Linked DNA regions of Caenorhabditis elegans. The protein of the gene in region 2 purifies or fractionates together with the protein of the main gene of each other region. This does not show direct contact. Each region holds a gene or a part of one and is shown on either strand. Other genes may lie near its edges.

Region 1 (14,896 bases), 3.7 Mb from region 2:
AAAGTGTTAAGGAAAATGTACCAGCTCACTTAAATTTACAGTTAAAACGTTGATATGAAAAGGGAGGGGGGGGGGGGGGTCTAAAATCAAAAAATAAATACGATATTTTACAAAAAATGGAATGACTAGAGTTCTGGAACTTGAAGTCTTCTCCATGACCAGAACTTTGGAGTAGGTTCGAGCAGTTTTGGGGCAACTTTGACGACGATAGCCTCGAAATTCTCTGAAAACTTTTCTATAAGAAGCAAGTTTTCAATAATTAAACATACCGATATTAAGCGCGTAATTATGTTGCTCGTTGTATCTGAACATGTTCAGGCATGCATCATTTATTGCATGAGCATCTGAATCCGCGATGTCTTTCTTTTCCAAAACCAATTGGTGGCACATAGAAGTGAGCTGAAAAACAAAATTATTTGTCAATTTTGGAAACCAAACGAACCTGCTGCAGAACAGTCATTCTTGAAATAAGCCATTTCAGCTTTGGAATAATCGCACCAGGCATGAACGTTTCGTAAGTATTCGATAGATGAATATTCACTCGATTCAACTCATCAATCAATTTTGGAAATGGCATATCTCCTAAAACTCTCACTGACATCAGATCGAATGTTGGTGGAATGTCTTTTCTTCTGGAAACTCGGAACTTCGATGAAACCGACAAAAGTCTGGTGATAGCTAGGCAGCAGTTTGCAACTTGAAGTAGGGATGCAAATTTGAACTTGTGCTCCGGCTTTCCTTTGAATGTTTCCGCTGATGTTCGAATGTCGAGAATTTTTTGATGGAAGTTGCGTAGAATGTCCTCCGAAGCATTGGTGAGATTAGTCGTCACATTACGTATTTCTCCAATTGAATCCTGAACAGCTTGAAAAACTCTTCCTTCTAATGTTGATTGATGGATGTTCCGAATATTGGATTCAAGCTTTCTCATGTTCTCATTCAAGTAATACTTCTTAGTGTATCTTGCATATCTCAAGACTCCAACAATGAACGCCGAACACTTGGGACATTTCAACTTCTCATTAGCTTCTTTTTGTTTTTTGACGTGATCATCAAGAACTTCCACAGGAAAAACGTGATAACATTTCGGAATCATGATGAGACGATGAACTCGTGATGTACTTGAGGTGCCAGAAACACATTCAATGTATTTGTTTCGTTCACACGTGCCACAGATTTTCGGACATTGCTCACCACAAATACCAAGACATGCATGTCCACATTTGAGTTTATCAGTGCACGGTTCTGTACATGGCTTCACGTTGCATTCCTCGAAACACTTCAGAGTACAACTACGATGTGCGCACTTATTGGAGCAATTATTGACACATAAAGCACATAGTTTGCTGCAATCGCGTCCGAATCCTCGTTCTCCAGCACCACAACTCTGATGTTCACATTTGTTTGTGCAGAACGCTTTGCATGGTGGGCAGGACTCGCCACATTTTGCCGAACACGTGTGACCACAGTTGAGAACTTTTTGGCACATATTCTGACAGATATGAGTTTTGGTCGTGAAACAAATTCCACAATCATTCTCGCACGTGTGTCCACACTTCTCCAAATATGATGTACATCTTCTTGTGCATAGTTTTGTTGATGGAGCCTGCTTACACAAAACCAATTCCGTATGTTTACAAGGCGAGAGCGTCTTTGGAACTTTCGTCTGAAAAATGAAATTCAAAACAGAAACCATAAAAAGCACTCACCAAACATTCGATGTGATCCGTCATTCCTGGCATGAAGCTCGAACAGACAACATCTTGAGAATGAGAGCATCCCAATGTTACATTAACTACCTCCATGCATTCAACAGTACATGGCTGACCACAAATTTCAGCACATTTGTGGGGGCAGGCCAACATCGTTTTTTCACATCGCTGATCACACGTCAAATCAATTTCATTTGCACTTATTTTCGAACAAGTTAATTGCTTAATGTGTCCACAGCTCAATGGCATTCCGACTAACTGACTGCATTCCGATACAAGTGTACATTCTTCACCACATTTTGCTGCGCAGGCATGACCACATAGCAGTTTCTTAGTGCAGCTGAAAACAAAAATTTGATTTAAAAAAAAAGATTTAATGTAATAATCTGACCTTTGATCGCATTTTGAACTGTTAATTCGACTGCATGGAGTTGTAATTCTATGCCCACAATCCAATGTAACCTCCACCAAGTACAAGCAACTTCCACATTCTTCATAGCATGCCTTTTTACATCGATGTTGAAACTGCGGGTTTGAACATTTTTTGTCGCAATTGTAAAGGCATCGTTGGAGATGTTCTTCTTCCATATTGGGATGGCATAGACGCTCGCATACGTGTCCACAGAACTTCTTGGTGTCGCATTTCTGCATACATCCACCTTCTGGTGATTTCGTAGCGAAATCTTGCGGATCCTTAACTGTAACAATGTTTCCGTGAGCCACACATTTGAGTGGAAGGTTGTATTCAATCAGATTGCTTCTTCTCAAGTTGTTGACGATTTTGTTCCATAACTCAGAATTATTCATAATGTATGCGCCATTTCCAATGATATACATTCCGTGTTGTGCTCGAGTCAATGCGACACAGATTCGATTGGCAACAGCCAGAAATCCGATTCCAGTGTTTTCTCTTCCACCACGATGTGATCTAACCAGGGACACAATAACAATTTTTCGTTCCTGAAACATCACATTTTTAAATCTCACTAAAATGCCTCCATCAGCTGATAACCTAGATTAGTATTGAGTGATATTACTAACCTTTCCTTGGAAGCTGTCAACAGTTTCGACTGGAATGACATTTGAGTCCGGTGTTGATCCGAAAACATTTGCATATTCACGATACATCAAATTCTTCTGAGCTGAATATGTGGCCAAAACAACAATCTGAAAACAAATTAGTAAAATTATGAATCCTATTCAGTCAAGAACTGACATCATTGGTGGTATAGTTCTGCTTTAACAGGTGTTTCACAAGCGCAACTGTCATGGAAATCTCGTGTTTGTTCAGCCAAGATACTTCATCTGGACTTTCTTCCATACTTGTGTGAGACCAGAAGAATAGGTTGGTAGCCATTCCTTGAACATCTGGATAAAGACCAACATTTTCCGCATCGGTAACACTGAAAAAAGTCGAATTAGCATAAATTATATTGTTAAAATTAAACTCACTTATCATAAAATGATAGTTTGACGATTTTATCAGAAATGGTTAAATTCATACGATGTTGTTGACGGAGCTGTGAAAAAGGCAAACCACGCTCCACAAGTCTTTCGAACATGGAAATTCTTAATCCGTACGCAACTCCCAATTCATGTACAGCTGGATTTGGACGTAATTGTTTATGATCTCCAATCATCACAACATGCTCGACAGTTGAAATCATTGCCGAAATAATATGAGCTTCGAGCACTTCCGCCGCTTCTTCCACAATGAGAATCCGTGGTCCAACTTTCTCGAGAGTAGGGCGAAGACGTGAACAACCGGTTGTCGTCGCTCCGATGATCATTGTCATTCTCATGATCTCTGCATCCACTCTATTCTGAGCATTTTTGAAGTTTTCACAAGCTTCTCGGTACTCCCGAATCTGTCTGGGAAGATTTTCCGTGACAATCGATCTCTGAAAAATTCGTTGTAACAAAAAAATTGACAAGATTATCGTACCAAGGCATCACACCAGGTAATATACAAAGACCACCGTTTCAAACGGGCGAGACTGAAAATGTACTTGATATCGTTCAAATCCTTCTTTGGAACTGGTTGGCTTGATAAAATCATGTCCTTGATTTCGGAGACCAAATTGTTGATTTGCTCATCAACGGTGAACTTTGCGTTACACTGAAAGATCAATATAAATTAGATAATTTCCATATTAAGTATAGGTTTTACTAACCGGTTTCGTTTTCTTCTCCATCAAAACAACCACACTTGGTCGCTTGTCTTGCACAATCTCCCAGGGTCCTTTGGTATAATACTCATCGGCGTGGGAAGCGTGGACGGCACTCAAGATGTCGGCTCCAGAGCATTCGAGCTAAAATATTTAGATAATAACTTTTTATCGAGACATGTATCTTACATTCATCTTTTCGAAAAGTTTATCCAAGAGCTTTTCGTCATCCAATTCATCTTCTTCATCATCGCTATCCTCAACCGTGAAATAGTCTTTGTTTTCGTCTTCCGAATCTAGTTGTGCACCTTGGAATTTCGGTTTCTTCGCTTTCTTCGTCTGTGATTTCGTGGCTTTTCCGAAATCTCTTTCTAACAACCAACAACCGATTGCTTCGTCAGGACTCAATGGAATTCCTTTGGTGTCGACGTGATCATATGTAAATTGTTGAATTTCCATCTGATGATTCGGGTCCATCACACGAGAAAGCATTTCGTAAGACAGAAGCTTGCTGTAAAAAAAGATTTCATTAAATTAAATAGGAAACTTTCGAAATCCTAGTTTTTGTTCTAAGACTTACTTCCTAGAGCAGAAAAGAGTGTAACTAGAAATCGCAAGATTGTCAGCTTTATGTCGTCTAGCTGCACCAGCCTTTGACATTTTCTTTTGAGCACCATCCGACACTTTTGACTTGTACTGCTCATAGACATCTTGCCTCATCACATTCTGTCGCTTAAGATAATTCGAATCACATTTACTTCCGAACCGTATAATCTTTGGCCTTCCATTATCTTTCGAAAGTTCTTCATCGTTTTCAATCATTTGATAGATTCTTTCCAACAAATTGTCTAGACCGGAGTTGGTGAAACAAACCACCAAGATTGGTTCGGTGATTTTCCAATATGAACGATTCTGGAGAATAGTCTTCACAATTTGAACTCCAATATGCGTTTTTCCAGTTCCTGGTGGTCCTTGAATCAACGAAAGCTCGTATTTGAATGTGTTGCAAAATGCTAATCTCTGGCTTTCATCCATATAATCGGGGTGGAATTCGTCAAGAAGGCGGGACACGTTATACCATTTCTTGTTGATTTGGATTAGATTGCTATCTGAAAATGACAAGAGTATAATTACATCATTATAATTTAAAAATTAAAGTCAGAGGAGTTAAAATTTGTTCTGTAGGACGCTAACCTTTTATATCAACTCCTACGAGAGGCCTGAAAATCGGCTCTTGCAGTTGTCTATATTCGAGATCGATATCCTCTTTTGACAGTTCACGAGACTTGCTAAATTCATAATCTTCGTCATCATCGTCAACTCCTCGAGGAATAGGCTTTCCTTTCGTATATCGTGCACATGCTGCTAGAGAACGAAGTTCATTATAGGTTTTCATCAACTTCTTCTCCTCGGAAATCTGATACTCGCTTTTCTCAGCTTGTTGAAAGTTTGGCCGAAAAATGATCTTACTACCATGGACAAGATATCTTTCGAAGGGGAGTGGTTTGAATGAGCTGATACGTTTCAAGTTCTCAAGAACATGCTTGTAACACGGCAGATATGATGTTCCTTGCGCCATTTGATATGTTGTGTTCGGTTTGAAAGGCGACGTTTCCTCATGGACAGCAAAATGAAGTGAGCCATTTCTCATCAAATATGATGATTGAATGTGTCCTAGATGAAAGTCTTCTTTAAATCTATCACACGAAAGCATCACTAATCCCAACTCCTTCATCTCACGATCGTTATCGAGTAACTTTAAAATATCGTATTGTGCTGGCCATATGATTCTCATTTCATATCCATCACGTTCAGTAACCTGTTTTCCGTCAACCTTTTCGACATTGAAAATTGAGATATCCGAACAAGGCGCTCCTTCAATTCTACGTCCTTTACAAGTTCCATTCTTTTTGTACAAATCAATTCCGTCTCGAAGTGGGCTCACTAAGTCCTCCTTCAGTAGACGAAATTGGACATCAAGGTAGTGATGAACAGACTTGTATTTTCCATCATCTTGGATCCGACGGAGATAGGGCTCTACTGGATTAACATACTCGGACAAAACAGGAACAGAAGGCAACGTCTGAAAAAAAAACAATTATGCCTTGATAGCTTGCACTTTTTTACCTTAAAATCCTCTGGCGGTTCTGATTTTTCACATTTCACCCAAATTGGTTCGAATTTTATCTCCTCAAAGCGATATGGTTGTTGTGGTTTCGCATCTGTGTCCTCTTCGCAATATTTGCGTTTTTCTTCACAATTTTGAGGCGAAACGAATTTATCATCTCGTGAGTGCTCACTGACGGTGCCACCGCCGTTGTGAAACCCCAAGTGATTTTCCATAGATGTTGATTCGTTGTACTGATATTGATCTCTTCTATCATCTGCTCGTCGAGACTGTCTCGAGTCATCGCGATATCTTGATGATTCATCCTCATGTCGTTGTTGTTGTTGCTCATCGAGCCTTCTGTGAACTTCTCCAAAATTGTCCGGGCTTTTATGGCGACGGTTTTCTGTCCGGTAGTTATCACGATGTCCGAACTCGTCTCTGCGTCTGTGATCGACGAAATCCACCTCGTCATGACCATAAACATTGCTGGAACCTGCACCTCGACTTTCAGATAAAACTTGGCGTCCACTGTCAGAAGAACCAGCTTTTTCGTACACTGAATATGACCGCAGCGCCAATGGACTGGGGTTTCGTTCCCGTTCTGCCCGTTTGATCCATGTTTCAATGTAACCAATCAGCCTCCTAAGATTTCTAAGCTCATCATCACCCACACCAGCTTCCTCAAGTCCATCCATGTCAGCAATATCGAAAGCCATCGAGAAATCATGCCAAGACGGCGCCTATAATAATGTTTACTTTTAAAATTTTCAGTTTATTTCAACTTACAAATCTCGGAAGTGTCAGCATGAATCCACCCTTGTATCGAGCCGTTGTGAAAAACAAATGAAAGATTTCGAATAGCAATTCTGTACCCTCGGGAGTCCACGTGTCATTGTCAAACGAGCTTTCCAGGAATTTACTTTTGAGCTTCAGTAGAAAATCCTTTTCGAACAATCCGCGAATAATTGCTTTACTGTGATCCCGAACAATACTTTTTCGAGAACTGATAGCATAATTGACAACGTAGAGAAGTTCTAGATTGTGAGCTAGTTTTACAAACGGACGTTCGAACCGTACGTATAGTTTTGATCCGTTGATGAGCTTGGACTGAAAATTAAAATTTTAATATTAATTTCGTGTTTATTGAAGATTAGTTTTCCGGAAATTGCCGAAATAACTCACAGGTTGCAGTTTATCACAAAAATGAATAGATCTTACCAACTCAGAATCGTTCTTTTGCGGAACTCCTCTAACAAGGATTTTGGTTTCACACACGTTCCGCGCAGCATGTACATCTTCAGACGATAGAATATGATCTCCTTCTTCTTCCTGAACTTCTTCATCGCGGAATCGACGCCTCGAAGATGAACTATTCTCGCTCATTCTCGAAATGGTACTATGAGCTTGCTCGAATTGATCATTCTGATGATTTTGAAGAGATATTCCTGGTGGAGTTGGAAGAGATATTCCAGGTGGTGCTGGAATTGACAATCCGGGTGGTTGAGGGGTGGAATAACGGGATTCGCGTGTATCTGCTCGGGGAATTGGCGAAACTGAAGATAATCCAGGAGGCGAACTGTTTGAAATCGAAATTCCAGGCGGCGGGAGCCCTGGGGGGGCGAGGTTTCTGACCATTGAATACGGTTGGCGAATTGGTCTGAAACAAGATAATTTAATTATACATTATGAGAGAACGCGGAGAGCTCTAGCATTTTAAGAAAAAGTATTTTCTAACGAAATCAGTATGCCCACAAAAATCCGCGTTTACTACAGTGAAAAGGAACGCGGCCAGGTTTCTGGGGAAAGATGGGAACACGATAAATGTGGTTTTTTTTCCGCTACCACGATTCACGTTGTTTATGAAACGAGAATAAAAACAAAAGCCACTGCGATTATCAATGATTTAACAAAGGTCACCAATTCTATTATATATTTTTAAAAGCAATATCAGGAATTCAGGAAAAATTATTGATGTTATTGAGAAAAACAATCGAAAATTTTGAAATAATTATTCGTTAAATCCTGCGAGTCAAGGGAATATTTCAGTATTTCCAAACACACTGTTTAACAAATTCTGATGTGAAAACATGCTTATTCAGATTATTTTTTTCGAATTTGTGAAAAAAAAGCATATCAATCACAGGGGAAGCAACTAGTCACGGTTTTTCTGTTTTTCTCTACGTCTCGAACTGTCTATCTATGTTGGACGTGTGGAAAAAGAAAGAAATAGCTAGGCCATAAGTCTAATATGAACGAAGAGATATTGCAAAATTTTTGAATAGAAAGTTTACAACATGGTAACGATACCTTGTTTCGCGTTGATCTTGTGCGATCTGCTTGTGAGGGGCGTCTTCAACAAAGTCTTCGGTCGATACAATCGAACTCTTTCCAAAGATGAATTCTCTATGAAAGTTAGATGTTTTTTAATTATTTTTTCCTTCTAGATAGCCTACTCTGTTTCTACCTCCATGGGCATCGCGATGGATTCCGTCAGATTTTCCACTCCTTTGATGAACTGTGCAAATTTAGAGCAGTCACTTCTGAAATATGAATTTTTTCGACGTTATGCTGAACATTTACTCACTCCAGTTCTTCATACTCCATTTCGTTGATCCAGTTGAGAATTTCGTTGCGTTTCATATGGAAGATATAACAAGACTCCCTAAACATATCCAGCATGTTTTGGACTTCGTCTTCGTCTGTATGAGTGAATATTTATACACGTTATGTATAATTTACTTTTCTTACCGCACTGGTCTAAAATGAAAAAAACAACCGGAGTCGACAGCGGTCCTTTTTCATAGATCGTTTCACACTTCTGCAGACCTTCCTCGATGAGCTTTTTCAGAAGAAGATAATCTTCCCTGACTTCTTGATATTGCAGGAATTCCCGTTCATCATCGAGAAGAATACCTACTTCTATCATCGAAGTGTGACACCTTTTCACGAATTTCCTGAAACAATACGTTTTTTCAATAATTTTTGAATAATTTGAACGTACATGAAGTGCTCTGATGAGAACTCGCTTGTCGGATAGCCGATTCTGAAGCACATCCACGGACGCCGGCGCTGTCCGCGGAACGGGTCTTCGTCGAACTTCAACGAACCCATTTCGTAGGGCAACCGACGTCCGCCAACCTCACGTTGAGGTGGTTTATCTCTGGACATTAGCTTGTCAGATAGATGGATTGGTTGGTTTGAAGTATTTATCTGTAAAAGAAATAATTACATCAAATAAAATGGCCATATTCAAGATTTTGCGAGAGTATTGGAGTTTTTTGTTAAATTTTCAAGCAAGACTTTGTATTTCGTGAAAAATGTGATTAGTGAAGCATTGCCTCACGGAATCAGAACGAAATTAAAACTGGTAACGGAGTTTTTTGGCCTAAAAACCGAAACCGTCAAATCCTAAAATTTTAAACAAAGAAACATGTGAATTTCTTGAAGATTTCATCAAAAATACTTCTGTAATAGTGAAAATGCGTTGCCCAGTGATTTTTAATACAAATTTTGAAGAGAAAAATGGAGTTTTAACATCAAAAATACGAAAACTGAACAGATAAATAACTGAATAAAAAAAAATTTCCGCGCCAATACTTCCAAGGGTACTGTAGTTTTTTATATTTCGTGCCGAGACCATCTCCTCGTATTCAGTGGACGCTCCTTTAAAAATTGATTGCTTTTTACCATTTAATAAGGCAATAAAAACAACGCTTTTAATCGAATAACTTGAAACACAATTTTTTTAAACTTGAAAATAAAAAAAAATCAGAAAAATTATTTATTTCAAGCACCAACGTTTAACAATTCTTAAAATTGGTCCGCATGTGAAAAAATACCCGATTTTATGGATGTTCTGGATCATCGTTATTATTGTTGTTTGAATTATTGTTATTATTGTTACTAGAACTACTTTTCAAAGTTAGCGACTTCAAATCCTTCGAGCTCGAGTGAGAAATTGAAGCCAATCGTGAAGATATTGATCGTCGTAGGCGTTCATATAATGGAGCACACATTCTGAGAGCAACCTGAGAAATAAATTGTCATTTCCATTATAAATTGAAAACCGACCTCATATGGTGGAGGTGGTTCATCTGGTTCAATGAGTAGTTGTGAATCATCAGGATTTCCAATTTCTCTGTAACCATTGGACCAAGCAGAAATACCACCTATCGATAACGAACGTAACGGCAAATTCCGCCGACTCGATGGAATAGCACGATTTGCTCTACTTCCGTTTTCTAAACAACTCAGATTCTCAGCTGATTCTTCGAGATTTCCTTGAGCAGCAAATGTCATACTTCGGCTAACTCTAAGAGGTCTCGGCGTTGCTGTAATGGGCTCAGATAGTGAATTGTCGGTTTCTGTTGCTCCATAGTTCCGAAGTACGATATGTTCGTTAGTTGTACTCACGAATGGTCGTGGAAGAATCACAGGGTCCAGGCATCGAATATTTGGATAATTGGTCTACAATATTATCAGAGCGATTAATAAATATTTATCAGGAGCAAATGATCTTAAAATTTTAATATTTAAAAAAAACCTTACATTTGAATTAGCAATCGTATTTTGCATGAGCATAACTTCACTGTACGATGGTACAACGAAATGTTGTTCTCTCCTCAACAATGCCTCCAACTCAACAGTATCCATAGTTGATGTTCTGGTTAATGGCCCCGTGTAGTTGACCGAATTCGGACTGGAAAATGTATTTGAAAAATAAATACTTATACTACTTTTCTATCTTTTTTTGCTGTAGCTAATCTTTTCTTCCTGCCAAATGCCTAATGATTGATGGAACTCAACGTTTTTGAGCCACATCCCTTTATTGAAGAAAATTCGAAAACACTATTTTTGTGGCTATTTTAGGCAACTTCTTGTAGAAATATAAATTTTATACACTTCGCATATGAAAATGCTCTATATGACTGACACTTTCTGTTCCCGCCAGGTCTTTTCTCTCAACAGAGGAAAACGGCGTGCAGTCGATAGCTCAGTTGGTAGAGCGGAGGACTGTAGAGTCAGTGGTTATCCTTAGGTCGCTGGTTCGAATCCGGCTCGACGGAATCTTTTTTGGTTTCTTTTTTCAAATATTTTATATCCAATATTCCTACCTCAAATAATTGGTTCCGAAAAGCTTAATCACTTGAAACGATAGCACCGCTGTCCTCCATTCTGTATAGATTCTCAATGGCCATGATAACACGAAAATTGAGAAAAACCAAAAAACAATGGGATGTAGGAACCATGGTGGTGTAGGCTTATTGAAGGCAAGTATTTCCTCTACAAATCCAACATCCGATAAATCCATTCCTTCTCGTACTTCCATATAATCATCTTTTGTCTCGTTATCATTGAAAAATCTGGATCTTTGTTGCTCGAACTCAGTTGCAGCCTGCATGTTCGCAAATACAAAACTTCGCGAAAGACGAATTCGTGTGACGTGGAACTTTTCAACTTCTAATATTGATTTTGAAATGTCCTGAAACAAATTATATAAATGGAAATGTTTTTGACACAGTACTCACCCTAAATCCGCAAGTATCATATATGAACATACTTCCAGCTTGATGTGAATTCATTCTCTCATAATATACTTGTGTAGCCGAAACAGCATCACCATTCCGGTATCTTGTAACCTGTCTTGTCTTCCTCGTATAGTGATAACAAACACTTTTCCACCATACAATTGGTGGAGATGTTCGTAGAGCAGTTATATAGTCAAGAGCATCTTCAACACGAACTTTTTTCATATTTATTATTTTTGTTCGACTGTGCCAACACTCCATCAAGTATACTATATATAGCATAAGACCAAATACAATTGGAACAAAGTTATATCCTTGTGCACATGGTCCGTGTTGATATCTATAAAAAGAAGTGTTCAGAAGTGAGATAAATATCTAAATTTGTTCTACACAGTTATATTATGAAAGGTAACGGTAGCTCCAGTGGGAGATTGTTCAAAATTACTCCTAAATGCAAGTCAAATGTGTTCTACGAGTTTTTATTATAATTATGTTTTAATGATTTTCATTGAGACATTGTGGATCTTCGAACATGCTCTGAACTTTCCGCAAAATTTGAATTTTTGAAAATTAGGCAAGCAATTTGTCAAAACATTTGTCAAAAGGAGAGTATTAAAAAATCTAAAACATTTTAGAGTGATTCAAAATCAAGCCAAGATATAGGCGGAGTCAATTTCTACCGTTTTCATCTTTATTTTTTCCATATGCTACATTTTCGAAATTTGTCCAAAATAGGAAAAAATCAAAATTAAACTTACATGAGCAATGGTTGACTTCCGGAATAAGCTTCATGTTTGACATGACAAAATGTTGCATAAAAGAAACAAAGTATCAGAAGCAACGAACAAACAAGACATTTCCCGTATCCCGTCCTTCGTAACACTCGGAATATATTCGGACGGCGTGGTTTTGCCACGTGCTCTTGAGCGTCCACAGTACCAGCCATTATTCACACCAATTCATGATCTGAAGATTGAGACGATTTCAAGAAAAAAGTATTAGAGTTAGTCAGAGTTCAATGAGTGCTGGGGGAAATAAGTAGTGAACAAACTTTTGTAATTTTCATTGGCAACTCAACAATTGTTGGCCATTTTCTGGCAAATCCTTTTGCCAACTTTTTGACCAACTTTCTTCTATTAAAACTTCAATCTGTTAAATTTATAAACTTTTTCTATAATATTCAAACTTTCTAATCAAAAGCAAATTTTGAAAAACGTTTAAAATAGTATTTGTTTGTGGTTTAAGAAAAACAAAACGGCAAAAGAGGGAAGAAAAAGAGGAGAAAAAAGGAAAACCGGAAGGAAGGGAAAATTGATGAGTTTTGGCGGGGCGGAGAGGTGCAATTCAAGCAATTTAGAGGACGCGAATTATAAGGAAAAGTGATGAATGAAAATTTGCCGTCTTGTTGTACTTCTATAACTTTTAAACTTGAACTTTTGGAAATTTTTGAACATTTAGATTGTAGAAAGATAGATGAGAACGGGTAAATCTCAAAGAAATTGTCCTCGGGGAGTTATAAGCTTTGACGAAGAATGAACCTCCGAAAAAATAACTCTTGGTTTGTCAAGTTGAAGAAATTCAAATTTTGCACAATGAGCAACACAAAAGAGCAAAAAATCGAAAAGGGAATTTCAGATTTTATTTTTATGTATTCGCTTTTATGATGTTTTCAAAAAAAATTACACAATTTGAGGCAAACTTTGAGTTTTCTAATGAATTCGTTTTCCGTCATCTTGGGAAGAAAGAAGAAATAAACACAAAAAGCAGAATTTAAATGAATTCATTTAAAATTTATAGGAATTCATCAGAAAATGTTCGATTTGATAGACAGTTTACAGCTCAAAGAGCTATGCAATAGAATAAAGTTTTAAACGAATTTGTGAAAAATGTGTAAGGTTAGTTAATATGTATATGACGGTCTACAGTACTCCATAACTTTTTGCTTGAAAGTTCAAAATATCCTTTTTTCTGTTTTTCGGCCGCAAAAAGTTGGAGAATTGTGCTCTTCGGTTTTTGACATACCTAGTCAGCTTTCTTCATTTCGTTGAATTATTTGATTCTAAATCTAGAATCTTAGGAAATTGAATTGTTACCTACTTTTTTCACATTTCCACAAGGGCCTCCGCAAAGAATTTCTACAAAATTTTTAGGCGACACCTACTACAACGGAATTGAATTGAAACGAAAACATTTTTATATTAAAACTTCTGAATTTCCATTGTCATTGAGACCTCGTAAAAAAGTTTTTGGGGGCTCACAACACAATGAGCTCATCTCAAAAAAAGGAGAAGAGTGGAGAGATTCCCCAAGAGATTCAGATCTGAAATTGGACACGTCGCGCGGGAGTAGAGCAAGAAAAAAGATGTATGTGTGTGTGTGTGTGCACATCTCTTTTCTACAACAACGACACCATAATAGAGTTTGATTTGAGTCACATTGAGCGAGCACGATATATAGTAACAAATTGAGAGATTTAGAGAAAAAATGAGAAGAATCAGGAATTATTTTTTTGTGCAGTTGTGAATGTGTGCGTTTTTTGTTTTTCCAGATTGCTAGGACCTTGCGGAAAACATCAATTAGAACACGGAAATGTCAGGTTTTACAAAAAAAGGAACACTTGAATTAGATAATTGTTGCTTCTTTTGAATAATAAATTATTTTTCTGCTAGAAATCGAAATAATTTGTAAGGTTACGGTAGATCAAGACCCATCTGAAACTAACCTATGGTTATAAAAAACTATGGTTATGGTCCTTCAGGATTTTAATCTATTTTTCAGAAATTTTATTTGAAACTAGCAGAAAAATCCACAAAACGTTATAACGTTATTTTATCAGGAAACCATTAAAAGTCGATTTAAGAGAGCACAATAGTATAATTGTAAGCAAAGAAGATATTCCGATGCTTGCCTGTCAATCTCTTCCGATATCCCCATGGGGTCCAATCCCCGACGCCTTCGCACTCTGACCAACAATAGTGGCCCTTTGAAGACCATGGAATAGAAGGGGTTTTCCAAAATCCATTTCAAAGTGATAAACTTGTCGCAAAAGAGTTTGTTCCATGGAGAGCACGGAAAGCAGAGCACCAAAAAATGGAAAAGAAAGGGAAAAATGATGGAAGAGACAACAAAAGATGGAAGCTCTATGCTTCTTTGACAGAGTACTTGTGGTAGATGAAGGAAAAGAAGGCGTAGAAGTAGAAGAAGGAGGGGCATAAATTAAAGAGCCCTACTAATGGGTAGGAGCGGGACAAAACTTTGTATTCAGGAAGGAAGGAAGGAACAATTCGGTGCGTGGTGACTGAGTGAAAGATTCTTTGTATGAAAGGAAATTGGTTTCGAACGGAAAATACTGAGTAAGACTTCGCAGGTGATGTGGTT
Region 2 (15,946 bases):
CGATTTGCTGGAAATATTTATTTTGGCAAATTGCCGGTTTGCCGTTCGCCGAATATCAGATTTGCCGGAAATACTCACTTTGGCAAATTGTCAATTTGCCGTTCGCCGAATATCAGATTTGCCGGAAATGTTTAGAGGGGAATTTTCTAACCCTGCAATTTGCCGGTTTGCCGATTTGCCGGAAATTTTCAATTCCGGAAATTTGCCGATTTGCAAATTTGCCGGAAAAAATCGTTTGCCGCCCATCCCTGTGCCTACCCACCTACCGACCTACCTACCTGCCTACCTACCTATTAGAACTTCATCTAGCTTTCTTCACATTTTAATAAATAAATTAAATAAATAGGCTATTTACTAGATTTAAGGACAATTTTTGAAACAAATTCTAACAATCCATTATTTTTTTTTTGGAAAAAAAATTAATAACATTTAAGAACATGCCAATTCTAGAAATAGGGCGTACATATGTGTACCAAAATGTGACTCACACTTTTGTCAAATCAAAAACTACACGAATACGCGATTTTCTTTTCTTCAAACATATACTTTCAATGCATATATCTCAGTTGTCGTTTGTCCTATACAAAAATAGTCGATTGGCAAAATATTTGTAATTTCTTTTTCTATATTTTTGCAGTTGAATATGTATTAATATCTGCAAAATGAAACAAGATAAAACCTTTTAAAGTGTAGAGTACTACGTAGTAGGGCATCTAAGATGAATACCTTCTAGTTTTATTTTAATTAAACGATGTGTATTATCAGTGCAAAGTCTAACTTAATCAAATAAAGGGATGGTGTTGTTATCAGTAGAACACACGTTTCGAACTATAATATGATATTTCAATATGGCAGTTTGAAAATAGTGTTTTGCAGTTTGGAGATGGACTGGTCGATAATCGGGGTTAATCTTCACATGGTACTTATTTGAAACTTTGAAGTTATAGACCAGGGGTAGGCGGGAAACGATTTTTTCCTGCAAATCGGCAAATCTGCAAATTGCCGGAATTGAAATTTCCGGCAAACCGGTAATTTTGCCAATTGCCAAAAATACAAATTTCCAGCAATCTACAATTTCGGCAATTGCCGGTTTTGGGAATTTTTGGTAAATGGCTATTTCGGCAATTGCCGGTTTTGGGAATTTCCGGCAACCGGCAATTTTTGGCAATTGCCGGTTTTCAAAACTTCCGGCAATCGGAAATTGCCAAAATTGCCAAAAATTCGCTTGCCGAATGGCAATCGCCGCGCACCACTGTTTGGCAAAATTTTCAGTTTTTTTGAACCTCTCACTATTTTCAGATGGTCTCTAAATATTTAAATTAACAAGATTGAAAAAAATTCAACAATTAACGATTTATTCAAATCCTTAAACATTTTCAAGCCCAAGAAACTTGGAAACAATTAGAAAAAAATTAACGTCGAACTCTCGAGAACCGCGACTCCAATCCACGACGTGACACGTTACATCCCATGTTCTGCAGAGCCAGCACGACTTCCATATGGCTTGAATGAGCAAACATATTTCAGCTGGGTGAAGCAGAAATGCTTAAAATGACTGATATGTGGGGTGGAGCTCTAATAATCCAGACTTGATATTACCCTGGAATACAGAAAACGATGTGACGCGGCTGAGAGATTTGTAGGTTTGGGATGTAGTTGGCTGCAAAATGAGAGGGAAGTCTGATAATTGGAGCAAACAATTTGAAAGCGAACATTTTAAAAGTGGAGTAGAGCCAGTGGGGAAAGTGTTAAAAACTACTCCAATTATGACAAAATGACCGAATATCAAAATAAAACTTTTCAAAAAGTTGTAGAAAATTTTTTATTTACTGTCAAAAAGTGACAATTACTCAGTTTTTGGCACTCATAATTTTGGAAGTCGACCAAAAAAAAAATTTTTTTTTCTACATTTCTTATACTTTAATTTTGTTTTAATAATATGTAGTAAAATATTTTAGGGGTCGAAACATGCGACATTGCTTTTGATTTCCTCAAAAGCTCATATTTTTCAAAATTGTTTTTTGGCAACTTTCCAAAACTTTGACCGGAAATTATGAAAAATGTAAAATTTTTTGTAGTGTTTTATTATGATATTCGGTCGTTTTAGATCATTATAAGTGTATTTAGACAAAATCCCCACTGGCGCTACTCCACTTTTAAGGAAAATGGTTTCTAAAGTTCCGCAGCTTCAGTCATTTCGGAAAGCCTTCCAGGTTGCAACTTTACTTTAAAAAGTTATATCTCGGTTTATTCTGTAAATATCATAAAATAATCAATTACAAAATTTAGAAAAATATCTAATAAAAATTTTGTCACTTGAAAATTTTTGAATGAAACAAACGACCACTGAGATATAAGCTGCCAAATGTGAGGTGCAATACTAATCAGTGGTGGCCAAATTGCCGGAAATTTTAATTTCGGTAAATTTGCCGATTTGCCGATTTGCCGAACATCAATTTGCCGGAAGTTTTTAGAGGGATTTTTATGTGCTTTTTTGAAATGTTTTCCCGTTTTTCTCTCGATATTTTGATGGAATTTGTTTACTTTTGAAAATAGCAGATGTAGGAACATTCATAGGATGCGTACAATTTTGCCGATTAAAATTGGAATTCTGAAATTTCTAAAAAAAATGTGCAAAATCGCAAGTTGCCGGTTTGCCGATTTGCCGGAAGATTTCAATTCCGGCAATTTGTCCCGATACTGTAATAGATACTGTAACCGAAAAATTGGCGAATTTTTTTACGTGAACCTTCAAACTTCCAAATTAAAAGAATTTTTGAAAAACCAAATAAAAATCGTAAACGTGAACTTCTGAATTACAAAAAAAGTTGGCAAAAAAAGTTCCAGTTCGGATTTGAAACGAATCAGTTCTCAATTTTAAAGCAGTGTGCTTGGTTGCGAGGAAGGATTAAGCAACGTCTTCACGATGAGCACCGACGGGAATAACAACAAGAAAGGATCGAAAGAAGGTAAACTTCAGGAAGTTGAATGTCATGCCCCGATGTTGGCGTCGATGTATGGGAGGCTCGAGCGCTGGTGTTTAAAGGCGCATGGGTCTCACCGCGACATGCTTTACAGCTTCTCATCCGGCTCGGCAAATCGGGGGATTGAAATCTGGTGGATTGTCCACGCCCTTAGAACTGGGCGGGGGTTTCAAGATTTGCAACCTCCGCACGGAAGGAAAGCCTTTCCTTTCACGGACAAATACATTTAGTTTTACAACTAAAAACGAGCCGCGACGCGACACGCAACGCGCCGTAAATCTACCCCAGATATGGCCGAGCCAAAATGGCCTAGTTCGGCCTAAACTCTTCCATTTCAATTTATGAGGGAAGTCAGAAATCCGTGTCCTTTTGCTCTAAAAACCACGTATTTTCGTACTTTCTAATAAAACCCCGTTTTCCAGGTCCAAAAACATCAGAGATATCAAAGTTCGATTTGGCCAAGGAGAACCCGAGATTAGCTGAATGGATGGACGACTGCATCAAGAGAATGAACAGTAAGACCTTACCTAGACAGAATACCGCCAACCTTCCAACCTTTCCAGGTCTCTACAAGGACACGAACATCAACATTTGCAATGTGATGACTGGACACGAGATCATTGCAATCATCCGGATGGTCGAGGCAATCTTCATGGACGAGAGCAATCTTTGTGAAGCCGAGGCTCCCATCAAAGTCATCGGAGACATACATGCCCAGTTCCAGGACATGAACCGCCTGTTCGACTTGATAGGGCGTGTTCCAGAGGAGAAGCTCATGTTCCTTGGAGACTACGTGGATCGTGGACCGCAAGGAATCGAAGTTCTGATCCTTCTCTTCTGCTTGAAGATCCGCTACAGGGATCGCATCTACTTGCTGCGTGGCAACCACGAAACGCCGTCGGTCAACAAGATCTATGGATTCTACGTGGAGTGTCAGTACAAGTACGGAGTCGGATTGTGGTGGGACTTCCAGACATGCTTCAATCGTATGCCAATGTCTGGATTGATCTCGAAGAGAGTGCTCTGTATGCACGGTGGACTCTCGCCGGAGCTCATCAATCTTGATACGATCAGGAATATTCCACGTCCGTGTGAGCCGCTGGATCGTGGTTTGCTTATTGATTTGCTGTGGTCGGATCCGACGAACAAGGGAGAAGGATGGTTCCATTCTATTCGAGGTTGAATAGCTTTGGGTCTCGCCACGAGAAGCACTAATTCCGGCATTTTGCCGATTTACCGGAAAATTTTGTTTTAGGCAAATTGCCGATTTGCCATTTTTCCAGCAAATTCGGCAAATCGACAATTTGACGGAAATTCTCGATTCCGGCAGTTTGCCGATTTACCGGAAAATGTTGTTTTAGGCAAATTGCCGATTTGCCATTTTTCCAGCAAATTCGGCAAATCGACAATTTGACGGAAATTCTCGATTCCGGCAGTTTGCCGATTTACCGGAAAATGTTGTTTTAGGCAAATTGCCGATTTGCCATTTTTCCAGCAAATTCGGCAAATCGACAATTTGACGGAAATTCTCGATTCCGGCAGTTTGCCGATTTACCGGAAAATGTTGTTTTAGGCAAATTGCCGATTTGCCATTTTTCCAGCAAATTCGGCAAATCGACAATTTTCCGGGAATTTTCAATTCCGGCAATTTTCCGAATTTGCCGATTTGCCGGAAAATTCGTTTGCCGCCCACCCCTACTTTTTCGCAATCTTTATTTTAAAATTTTCGGTCGTGTCGAGACCCTGTATCTTTCCTGAAAATTTCATTTTTTTTTCCAGGAATCAGCTACATGTTTGGCAAAGGAGTCGTCGAGCAAGCGTGTAAATCGCTGGAGATTGATCTGATCATTCGTGGCCATCAAGTCGTCCAAGATGGATACGAAATGATGGCTGGACGCCGTCTGATCACCGTCTTCTCGGTGCCAAACTACTGTGCCCAGTTCACCAACGCCGCCGCAGTGGTTTGCCTGAACGCCAACTTGCAGGTAATCTTAAATGACTCGAAGTCTAATAAAACCTTTAATTTCAGGTCTCGTTCCAACAGCTGATCCCACCACCACTTCCGGATGGCACCAAGGCCAAGGCAGCTCCAGCGATTGCAATCGACACGAATATTGAGGCGGCTCGTGCTGACAAAGAAGCCATCAAACCATATGTCAAGGAATAGTCAGGAATCAGGAAAAAGAGCCAATTTAGATTTCATGAATAAATCGTTTGATTTGAATTGTTTTTTGCGCAATTTCAAAGAAAATATTATATGTTACTATGCTGTTTATTTGAAACAAAAATAATTTTAAATTAAAAGTTCGAAATAGTCGTAATTTCTGGAAAGTCTGCCTAGAAGATCCAGTACATCTGAATGTGAAGCATAGTGATCAAACATGATGAAGAATATAAGTTGTAATAATATTTTAAAGAATATTTGACTTTCTTTCAGAGTTCTTTTATACTATTCCAATGCTTCAACACAACAAATCAACAATATGATTTTCTATTTGTCAATTAATGATTCTTTTGATATATATTTTAATGCCTGCAATTAAATGTCTCACTTATTTACGGGTCTACACGGGACAATTAAGCAAAGTTCGAGCACGCTGATGATATGGAAGAGATCACTACTGCTTATGCTGGAGATATCTGTACAACTTTTGGACTTGACTGCCAGAGAAACGTTCTCAACTGATCAGAATCTTGCTCCGCATTGTGTATGTTTTTTGGTGCTTTTTTGCCCTAATAATATTGAAACTTTAAGGAGCCAATACACATTCCGGAGCCAGCCATTTCTGTGGCACTCAAATCTGTTAACCGGAAAGATGCTGACAATTTTATCAAGGCATTGACGCGATTCACAAAGGAAGAACCAACATTCCGAATTAAATTAAAGGTGCAAATGTAAATAAATATATAGATTATGCCGAATTGATTGTTTATTGCCATATGAAATAGAAAAAAGTACAATTATTGCTGCTTGTAGTGGTGGTACATTCTGGTCAACTCGGGAGTGGCAACGGCAGCTTGACCAATAATGAAGTAGTCAAGAATTGTATCGAAAATGTATTGATAATCCTGAAATAGTTTTCATGTAAATCACTAGTGTGATGAAATGAATCATACCTGAATTTTCATATCATACAATAGCCCAATATTTCGAAGATTAATGCAGCAGTCGAATACGGATAGAGCGGTTTCCTAAATGATTACATTTGGGAACAAAATATGAATATTTCAAACTCACTGAGTGCAAAAGTGAATCCAACGTAGACAATATTGCTACCAGCATAGAGCACTTGGTGTCTTCATCGCGGGAAGCAATCATCAATCTCTTTTTGAAAACACCATTTTTTATGCATTCACGCGGCAATTAGAGAACATACCATAGCAGAAGTATCGAATAGTGGATTTTCATTGTCTTTCCAAGATCCAAGAGAAACGAACTCAACTGAAGATCGATTGATCCCACAAGCAACGTCAACACTATCAAAAAAAATCGTGGAATTCGCTGATGAAATCTCTGAGTGATTTTTGTTGATCAAATGCACATCGTTGAACTTCATTTGTGTGATCGCTTTCCAGGAACAAATGCCAAGTCGTTCACTCCATTTCCAATTTTCAGAACTGTTCCAATTTGCGATTGACACACATCGACCCAAAAGTCTCGATCATTGGGCGCATTTGGGCTTTTTCGAATGCAATACTTCCCTGGGTTGCTCGTGAATCCAACATAAGCTGTGTTTGCATTGGACCATCTGATGAGAAAATTTCCATTTTACTTATATACAAACTGTATTATTTACTTACAAAGAGCTACGAGATCCCCTCATAGAATTTAAAATATTATATTGAGCTCTTTGAGCTTCACGACCGCCGAGCATAATGCTCTTCACAAATTCACGAACCTGAACATCAATTATCATTCTGCAAATTAATTATCTCATCGACTAACTTGACATTATAAGCAGGTTTTGGATAGTTGTTTGTACTCGAAATAGGCTCCGTTATTGTGTCCCTTGTATTGATGATCTTTTCCGTAGTTGTGTGAGTCTCGCTTCTCAACAGTACCCCACCCTTCTTTCTGAAAATATAATATTCACTCAATTTTGTACTTGTATTTACAACGCCGCGAAACTCACTTCTTTTTTTTCAAAACACAATCACATGTTTGTAGAAAATTTAATTTCCGAAATAAACTTTTTATATTTTCCACACTGCCCTAGAACGGGGTTTACGTGACAATCCCTCCCTCTTCTTATCATTAGAGCTAAGTATCACTATTATAATTGCATGCCAAGCAGGGATGCAAATTTCTTGTTTCTTGATTTCTTGCATTTCTTGCTTCCATTTCTTGCAATATTTTTTTGCAAGAAAAGTGCAAGAAATTTTTTTTTGATTTTCAGGTTTATTTCGAGAAAAATCAGTACAAGATGGAGGAAGTTCTATGGAAATATAAAAATTTTATATAGGATTTTGGATAAAAAACGTTTAGAAAGCTGGAAAAATGTTTCAAATCGTTAAAAATTGGACATGGAAATTTGACAAATCGTAGAAATTTGGAAATTGCAATAATTTCATAGTTTTCGGCTGAAACTTACTTCCAGGAGTCGCCTATTAGGTTAAATCGTATTTATAATCGACTACTTTAACCTATATCTTAACATTTGAAAAAAGTTTAACTGTTTTCCATGTCTTGAAATTTCTTTCATTTTTTGCGCTTTTTCTTGCAATGTTTTATGCAAATTTCTTGTTTCTTGCAAAAAAAAATTTCTTGAACATCCCTGATGCCAAGCCGACCCGGAAAATTCAAAAATAGAACAAAAACCAATTTCGACGGCTATCAACTTTTATTAAGTTTTCAGTGCCTATATTAGTATTCAAAACTAAATTCTCGAAACATCTTCTGATGTTTCGAGAAGTTAGTACAAGAAAACAAATGAAAAAAAAAAAGAAAAAGGCCACAGAGCACACTTGTCAGCGTAATTTCAACGAGAAAAGAAATTGCGATGACAAGTTGCTGAAAAAAGGAAATATTTGACAAGGGAAGTGAATAACAGGGGACAATATAAGTATGATATAACAAGAATGGGCAATATTAATACATTGGGAAAACTATGCGGTTATAAACGTGGTGTAAGAGTAACAATGTGAAATGGTACAGGTGGGAAAGGGTTATTAGTTGTTCAAAAACAATTGCAATAGGGACAAGGAAATAATGGAACAGCAGGGAAGGGTTGAGGTGGTTAAAGAAACAAAGTTTGCCTTGTTGAAAGTGATCATGCGTTGACACGACGACCCGTGAGATCTCCGGACGCTTTGTAGCAGATGCTCTTGGTCAACTCCTTGAGACGATCTGCTTCCGGGCCAGAAACAGTTGGAACGTTGTTCAAGGCCCTGAAAACAAAAACATTTTTCCAAAGAATCCGCTAATGCAAAACTTACACTGCCTCGTTCCACAGATTGCGTCCTCTCTTGGCGTACTCGTTGGCGACGTACAATGGAGTTGGAAGCGACGTCGGAAGTCCAACGATCTGGTGAAGATGGCACAGCTTGTACGTGATATCCTCCAAAGCTGTCATGCTGACTTTGGCGTCATCGGCGAGAACTGTGTACAATGGAGTCTTCGCAGTTCCTTGCAGAGTGATGTGGGAATTCAGGAAAAACTGCTTGCAAGCCGGATTTGTCACGATGGAATCGACCAAAATACCGGGTGCAATATTCAGATCCCATGCTTTTGGGGCGGCTGGCATTGCAGAATGCCTGCTTGCGGTGCTGGAAGTCGCTTGTGGACGGGAAGCTAGACTTGCCTGAAAATATACAAAGTTATTTTGATGCAAAACTACTAACCAAATCGGGCTTGAAGAATCTGAAGCTGTGATCCTTTGACACCACAATGTATACAAGTTGAATATCAGGTGAGAAATCTCTCATAGCAGCACGAGCAAGAGGAATCTCGTAGGCCATGATTGATCCATGATTTCCCTCGCTTGTTCCTGTTCGGTAGACAATGACGCGTCTCGGAAGACCGCCATCATGAAACTTCTGGTATTCGTTGAGCGAGTGCATCACAATATCCTCAATCGGCGCAAGAGTCTGAAATCAAATCGGATGAGAATATTCTTAAATGGAAACTCACATCTTGGCTGGCAGAGTTTAACACGAAGTCTCCACTGAACTCCTGATTGTGCTGTGCATTGTACGCATAGCCGATGACATTGGGGTTTAGAACTCCTTTGTTCTCCATGGCATACTTGGTTCCAGCAGGTGGGGCGGAAATCCCAACTCCGATGATCAGATGAGAGTCGAGCTGCCTGAAGGAATAATAAATGAATATAAATTTCGCAAAAAAAAATCTGGTACTTCTTGGCGTCCACGAAAACATAGTTGGAACCTCCCAACTTCACATTGGTCTTGTTGATCACGTTCTCGAGAGTTAGCCTCTTTCCTGCATTGATAACACTCAACGCCTTGGATAGCTTCATGTCTTGAACGATCATCTTCGTATCCTTCTCAATCATTTTGTAACGCTCTGAAAGACGGAAATATGGACAAATATAATAAACAATGTAACATACGATGGAGTGTAGTGATTGAATCATCCGTTATGATGAAAACGAATGTGCAATTGGCTTTCGTTGCGTCGTACAGACGACTCTCGATGGCATCCATATGGATGAGCGAAATGTCAGCAGGAGCAGGCATGTTGACACCTTTTGACTTGCACATAGCCGCGAACTCATCTGCGAATTTCCTGAAACGAAAAAAATGAGATATGAAACTATATTGCCAGTCTTACTTCAGAGTATCCAAAGTTATGCGAGTTGATGCGGTACCGACAACATACATCGCCCACACATTCGGCGCCGTGGCTGGTCGAGTGAAGCGGTTGGCACGCCACTTGTTGTCCTTGACATTGATTGGATTGGCTCCAATTTCAGCGTTTGCCAACTTCACCGCAGGAATTGAGCGTCCTTTGACCATGAGCGGATCTTCGCACACCGAGACGCCCATTTTACCGAGAACCTCGTTGTCCGATGAGATTTGCGCCGCATTTTTTCCCGTCAAGATCAGACGCTGGCGAACGTCAGGTAAAACAGCACTTTCCTTCGTTGTCTTCTGACTCTGGGCACTGGTTAGCTGCGGGATCTGAACGCGTTGATGAGAGCTGATCTTCAACAATTCCATCGGGTAGAAGTTTATATTTCCTCTCTCCTTGGAAACGATGAGATTTGTGTCTGGATAGCGAAGAGTGATGTTGTATACGTCTTCGAAATATTGAGCTACAGTGCAGCTTCCACCGTCGTTGAGCTCGAAACGAGCATTTCGAGCCCCTTCGTGATGGATTCCCTCGATCTTGTGATGACGTTCACGACCGCCATATGTAGAATAGCAGTCGAGCCCTTTGATGACGGCTGCGCAGCGGTCCTTTTCGAGTCCCTTCAGGCCGTGTTCCACAGGCTGCGTAGTTATCTCCTTCAGTTTGTCGAGAATTGGCTGATTCTTATGGAAAGCGACCTTCATCCCTGAAAAACAAGAAATAACTATGATATTACTATTTTGAATACCAACCGTCAATGACAACTGATGGATTACTCCGTCCTCTGCCGTAGGGTCCTTCGATGAAGTTGATCGTCTTCTTGAGTCCTGGTACAACTTGCTTCCCATCCCCAACGTCCACAACGTCGCATTTCTCGAATCCTTCACCGAGTGGATCAATGAAAAACATTTTTCCATGATCGAAAACAACGTATCTCGCAGTGTTGCGAAGACATGGTTGAGTGAGAGCGAGTTCCAGGATCTGTTGGTAAGCCAAGCTGACAGAATCGAGGTTTGAGTCCGTTGCTCGTCTTGCTACGGCTTCTCGTGTGAACTTGACCGCTGGGTTTTTAGTCGGGAACACCTCCAGCTTAATACACGGCAACGATTTGAGATCCTTATGATCCATTTCTCCGCCATCAAGCTGCATGTACTTGGTCTGAAATATTCGGAATAACATTGGCCGAGATTTAATTTATTTACCTTTACTGCGCCTTCTCTGAACCCTTGGAAAAGATCCACGTTTGAGAACAGAATGCTTTGACCATCGTAGATGAGGCAGCTATCAGACGTTTTGAAGAACTCCTCATAGTCACCCAGCGCGCGGAACAGAATCGCACAGCACTTGTCGTGTCTCTCAGTAACGACGAAGCTGGAACATATTATGAGAAAAATATAAATCATGTGGTAAACTCACTCATCCTTCCCCTTCTTAGTGAAGGTAACTTCTTTCCCGTTTTTCAGCTCCGTCGTGATGTTCACGCTGTACTGATAGAACAACGAATCCTGGTGCATCTCGATTCCGAATACGTTGGTCTGTATTTCGGCCTCGACGCCACACTTTCCTGGTTCAGTAGGTGTTGGATAGAGCTTTGCAGCAGGAGCAATCTGAAATTTAACAAATTAGGTTTGAAAAAAAAATCAATTAAACTAAACGTACATTAAGCTCTTCCAGTCTCTTGATGCAAGCGTCGTTAGACGTTTGATACTCCGATCTTAACGGTTGAGTCGGAACTGGAACTGGTGGAACGGCAGGTGGTGCGTGGACGCTCGATGGAGCTCCAGAAGGCGTGTAGACTGGAGGAAGAGCTGGCATCCTTCTCGATTTTGTAACTATTACCTGTAAATTTAAAATTCAAGACGAAATAAGACTTAACGTATAGAAAAATGCGAAAAAAGCAACAAAAATACAACACAAAAACACAAAACGAGCATCAAAAACAAACATTTCCGCGAAAAAACGCGAAAAGAAAAAACGAAATTGAAAATCGCGGTCATCCTAAAATTCTGGGTTACTGTAGGTGACTTTCGCTGCGAGACCCGAGCACAACGACACTCCGCCTTAACGCAATGCGCCTTGTTTACCGTAAATCCACCCGAACAATTTATTTTTTCGAAGAGAACCTTTATTGAATTTTGCTTTTCTTTTTATAATTAAAACTCTAGAATTAAACAAAAATAGCTATTTTTAAGAGAAAAATTAAAAAAGTGCACTTGCGCTCTATTTTGCACTTCAAATACCCTCTTCATCAGGAGTCACATGAGATTGTTGCATTATTTCGAAATGTTCATATTTCTTCGTTTCGCCTCTATTTTTCCAGACCCGTGTTCAATTTCGTTATTTGAAATCTTAAAATTTCCTTCAATAATGCAATTAATTACAGGAACAATCAGGACAAGCAACGAGAAACAATGAAGGCGCCGGAGATTGTCGATCGTGAAGATTCACGTAATCATTATATTTTTTTCTATTGTTAACCTAATAAAAAAACAAAAATAACGAAATTTTGTTAACTTGATTTCTATATTTGGTTCCAAGAAACCTAGTTATTATCACTATTTGATATTTATTTCTCTTGTATTATTCTCTTCTAATGATTTCTTGATAGATGCAGTCTCGGAAGATGATCATGCGGAACATAGGGATTGCCAAGACGAAAAGGAACAGCAGATTATTGCATCATTCAACGCTCAGGATGCTCAACAGATTCGTCGTATTCAAGAGCACTTCCTTCAAGAATGCATGAAAAAGGAAACAGTAGCTGAAGCCAACGATTCTGGAAGAAATGACGTGTGTTGCCCACGAAAAAAGCTCACCGGAGTCGGCGAGCTTCTTGCGAGCCTCAGAAATCCGCCGAAAATTCATAAAGAACGAATCATTCTCGGCGGGGATGGAAGACCAATCAAAAAGCTTCGCGAAAACCGAGCTGCACTGAATTTCATCGATCCATCTGCCGAACTTGACAAGTGTATAGTTCGACAAAGTAAGGATTTCAGAAATTTGTCATTTAAAGGTGGAGTAGACTCGAAATTGTCTGAAAACACCGATTTATATAATGAAACTTGAAAACTTCCCAAAAACAAGTTATGACGGCTCAAAAAATGGCCTAAAAGTAGTTAAAACTTAAAATTTTACTTGTCAGCGCTGTCAGCTGGAAACAATTTTTGTTTTTGAAATCACCGTCAAATTTTGGGTATAAAATGTAATTATCTTGCGTTTTCAACACGATTTCGGTATTTTAAAGTCGATGGACCGCGAGATTTGGTTTAAAAAAATTTAAAAATCTCGCCGTTCATCGACTTTAAAATACCTAAATCAGAGTTAAAAACGAAAGATAATTACATAAAATACTCAAAATTTGACGGTGATTTCAAAAATATTAGTTTCCAGCTGGCAGCGCTGACAAGTCAAATTTCAAATTTTAACTAATTTTAGGCCAGTTTTTGAGCCGTCATAACTTTTTTTTGAGAAGTTTTCAAGAAGTTTCATCATGAAATTCGGTATTTTTAGGCAATTTTGAGTCCAATTTTGAACCAATATTTGGAAAAAAAGAAAATTTATAATTTTCAGAGCAGCAAGACTTTTGTGCTCCGGATCTCAACATGGTTCCTGCGTCCTCACTGAGCATCGATGAAATTCGAAATGCCGTCCGTAAAAGCATGTTCCGATGCAAAGTCTGCAAAAATCGTTTCGGTGAGATGAGCCTTCTCGAGCGACATCTCAGAGATTCCCACCCGAAAGCCTACATTGCATTTTTGGAAAATCAACGTGAAATGGCTGATTATATGGGTGAACTGGAGAGAGAGCGTAACCGAATCGAAGAGCTTGTGAGTGGCGGATTCATTCCTCCAGAGTCGGAAATTGAGGCGACATCGAACAATCTGGAAGTGGACTCGATCCCGTTGCCGGGTGAGAACAGTCAAGGACACATCCCACGACTGAATCGTTACGGAGGTCTCATGTACCCAATGGATGCGCTTAGAAAGAAATTTCCATATCTTAAGAAGGTAATAAACACGATGTCCTGGAGTGTTCATAATTACTGGAACGACACCTCACAAACTCCTGAATTCGTGGGAGCTCGATTAGCTGGGACAGCAGTTTTTGGCTATTGTTGGCCTATATAGAAACTCTTTCCGAATTTTTTTGATTCATAATTTTGTTGAGAGGAATCATACGAGTTGAAAATGTGTAAAATTATGAAATTTGGCCCAAAACTGAAGATTTTACAGAAAGGAGTCACTACAGTTTTTTAAAAAATGTATTAGAATCGTCAGTTTTTCGATTTCAGGTTCGAAAAATATGCCATTTTGTAGAGAAAAATCTGTTTGAAATTCTAATTCTTTAAAGGTGGAGTAGCGTCAGTGGGGAAATTGCTGTAAAACATGCCTATGGTACCACAATGACCGAATATCATGATAAAAAATTATTCTAAATTTTATATGATTTTTTGAAAATCGAAAAAATCTCAGTTTTTGCCTAATTCCTATTTAAATTACCGCCAATTGGATTTGTTCGATGGAGCGCGCTTGCACGTTTTTTAATTAATTTATTTTATTTTTTGTTATTTTCCACCGATTTTTAATGTTCTCGGTGTAATTTTGCTTGAATTTTAGAGAAAAAGTCAAAATAAAAGCTAATTTTCGATTGAAAAGCACGCTTACAGGCGTAAAAATGACAAAGTAACGATTTTGAACGATTTCGAACCTGAATTAATTAATTTCAATGATCTACGCCTGTAAGCGTGCTTTTTTAATCGAAAAGTTGCATGTATTTTGACTTTTTCTCTAAAATTCAAGCAAAAATACACCGAAAACATTAAAAATCGGTGGAAAATAACAAAAAATAAAATAAATAAATTTATAAACGTGCAAGCGCGCTCCATCGAACAAATCCAGTTGACGGTAATTCAAATAGGAATTAGGCAAAAACTGAGATTTTTCAATTTTCTAAAAATCATATAAAATTTCGATTTTTTAAAAGAATTTTTTAGTCATGATATTCGGTTGTTGTGATACCATAGGCGTACTTTAAAGCAATTTCCACTTTTAAAATAATTTCTTAAAAAGTCTAAATTAAACTTTTCCAGCGTTCCCCTCAATGCCCTTTCTGCGATAAACGATTCCGAAACGACATCTCATTCAACAACCACCTCACGAAGAAGCATCCAGAATGCGCCGAGTTCGTTCAATGTCTTCACTGCTTCAAGTGTCTTCCATCGGCCGCTGATCTTCCAACTCATGACTGTGATCTCACATATCTCTGTCTCGATTGTCGTCCGATCCGTAACATGTGCAATGGCTACCGTCTGTTCCGACACCGCACCAAGTTCCATCGTGGCTACCATTCCGGTTTCCGCTGCCCAGACTGCAATCAGAAGTTCTTGACGCCAAGAAAGCTGCGAAAGCATCGCAAAATGGCTCATGTCTTCTCGCGAACGTTCCAATGTCATTTCTGCGAGGAATTCTTCATTTCGGATACAGCTGTCACTATTCACGAGCGTGTTCACACCGGAATCCTGAAGTTTGAGTGCACGGTGTGCGACTTTAGAGCTAGCAGATATCTTCAGATGGAAGAGCATACGAAGGTAACAAATATTCTTGCGCGGAATTTTCAAAAAAGCATATAAATTTCTTTCAGGAACATCATGGCTACATGTGCTCCGTGTGCCAGCTCAAATGTCAACACTGGAACGATATCAAGGATCACATGTTGGCCGAGCACTCGTGCTATGTTACCGAAGAAGCTTCACAAGTCTACATCGAGTCTCCGCAAATCTGGCTCATGTACAAGGGAGAATAATTATATTGATATATGTATATCGCCTGTCTTCCCAATTTCTCCATCACCCCCCGTTCAATGACGATTTCACCCAGTTTTCCCACATTTTAATGTTTACAATAATATCGGTTACCAATTCCACTTGTTCTGATTTAACAATAAATACAACTGGGCGTATATGACCATTTTTGTTTAAAAAAAGCAAATCTTTTAAGCTATAAGGAAAATATAGACCGCGAAATCCAAAGAACTCACAAATTTTAATAGAAAGCAGAAACGAGTTTTATGAATTCTCGTTTACTCCGCTCGGACAATCATTTAATTTGGGAATTCTACGTATTTTATCATGATTTCTTCTGTTTTTCAGTGG

What was found.
Region 1: the proteins of wago-4 (region 2) and znfx-1 purify together in Caenorhabditis elegans (affinity purification with western blotting, with the first as the bait; one study listed by BioGRID). This does not show direct contact.

What each region holds. Positions count from the first base shown.
Region 1 is NC_003280.10:9,207,964-9,222,859, reverse strand, and holds znfx-1 (NFX1-type zinc finger-containing protein 1 homolog), read right to left. Parts: upstream 9,159-14,896; coding exon 8,992-9,158; intron 8,945-8,991; coding exon 8,739-8,944; intron 8,690-8,738; coding exon 8,575-8,689; intron 8,531-8,574; coding exon 8,444-8,530; intron 8,394-8,443; coding exon 8,298-8,393; intron 7,648-8,297; coding exon 7,209-7,647; intron 7,098-7,208; coding exon 6,777-7,097; intron 6,731-6,776; coding exon 6,008-6,730; intron 5,964-6,007; coding exon 5,075-5,963; intron 4,990-5,074; coding exon 4,461-4,989; intron 4,392-4,460; coding exon 4,070-4,391; intron 4,025-4,069; coding exon 3,887-4,024; intron 3,832-3,886; coding exon 3,658-3,831; intron 3,614-3,657; coding exon 3,165-3,613; intron 3,116-3,164; coding exon 2,929-3,115; intron 2,880-2,928; coding exon 2,754-2,879; intron 2,673-2,753; coding exon 2,104-2,672; intron 2,053-2,103; coding exon 1,710-2,052; intron 1,667-1,709; coding exon 443-1,666; intron 400-442; coding exon 270-399; and 3 more. Other genes in the region: ZK1067.4 (Transmembrane protein 151 homolog), read right to left, coding at 9,836-10,018, 10,062-10,457, 10,539-10,689, 11,105-11,472, 11,519-11,858, 12,277-12,464. UniProt on the Caenorhabditis elegans protein: Epigenetic inheritance factor which, in association with the Argonaute protein wago-4, mediates small RNA-directed transgenerational epigenetic inheritance and thus balances the transgenerational inheritance of epigenetic information.
Region 2 is NC_003280.10:12,915,241-12,931,186, reverse strand, and holds wago-4 (Argonaute protein wago-4), read right to left. Parts: upstream 11,637-15,946; 5' UTR 11,611-11,636; coding exon 11,455-11,610; intron 11,403-11,454; coding exon 11,212-11,402; intron 11,167-11,211; coding exon 10,998-11,166; intron 10,954-10,997; coding exon 10,548-10,953; intron 10,502-10,547; coding exon 9,775-10,501; intron 9,730-9,774; coding exon 9,554-9,729; intron 9,508-9,553; coding exon 9,339-9,507; intron 9,290-9,338; coding exon 9,115-9,289; intron 9,072-9,114; coding exon 8,826-9,071; intron 8,786-8,825; coding exon 8,421-8,785; intron 8,373-8,420; coding exon 8,255-8,372; 3' UTR 7,810-8,254; downstream 1-7,809. Other genes in the region: F58G1.3 (Serine/threonine-protein phosphatase), read left to right, coding at 2,927-2,969, 3,407-3,499, 3,548-4,162, 4,764-4,969, 5,014-5,151; F58G1.8 (Elongation Factor G domain-containing protein), read left to right, coding at 5,585-5,692, 5,740-5,883; F58G1.2 (C2H2-type domain-containing protein), read left to right, coding at 12,207-12,243, 12,410-12,778, 13,366-13,802, 14,885-15,382, 15,436-15,597. UniProt on the Caenorhabditis elegans protein: Argonaute protein which is involved in the endogenous small interfering RNA (endo-siRNA) pathway and is required for RNA-mediated gene silencing (RNAi) in the germline.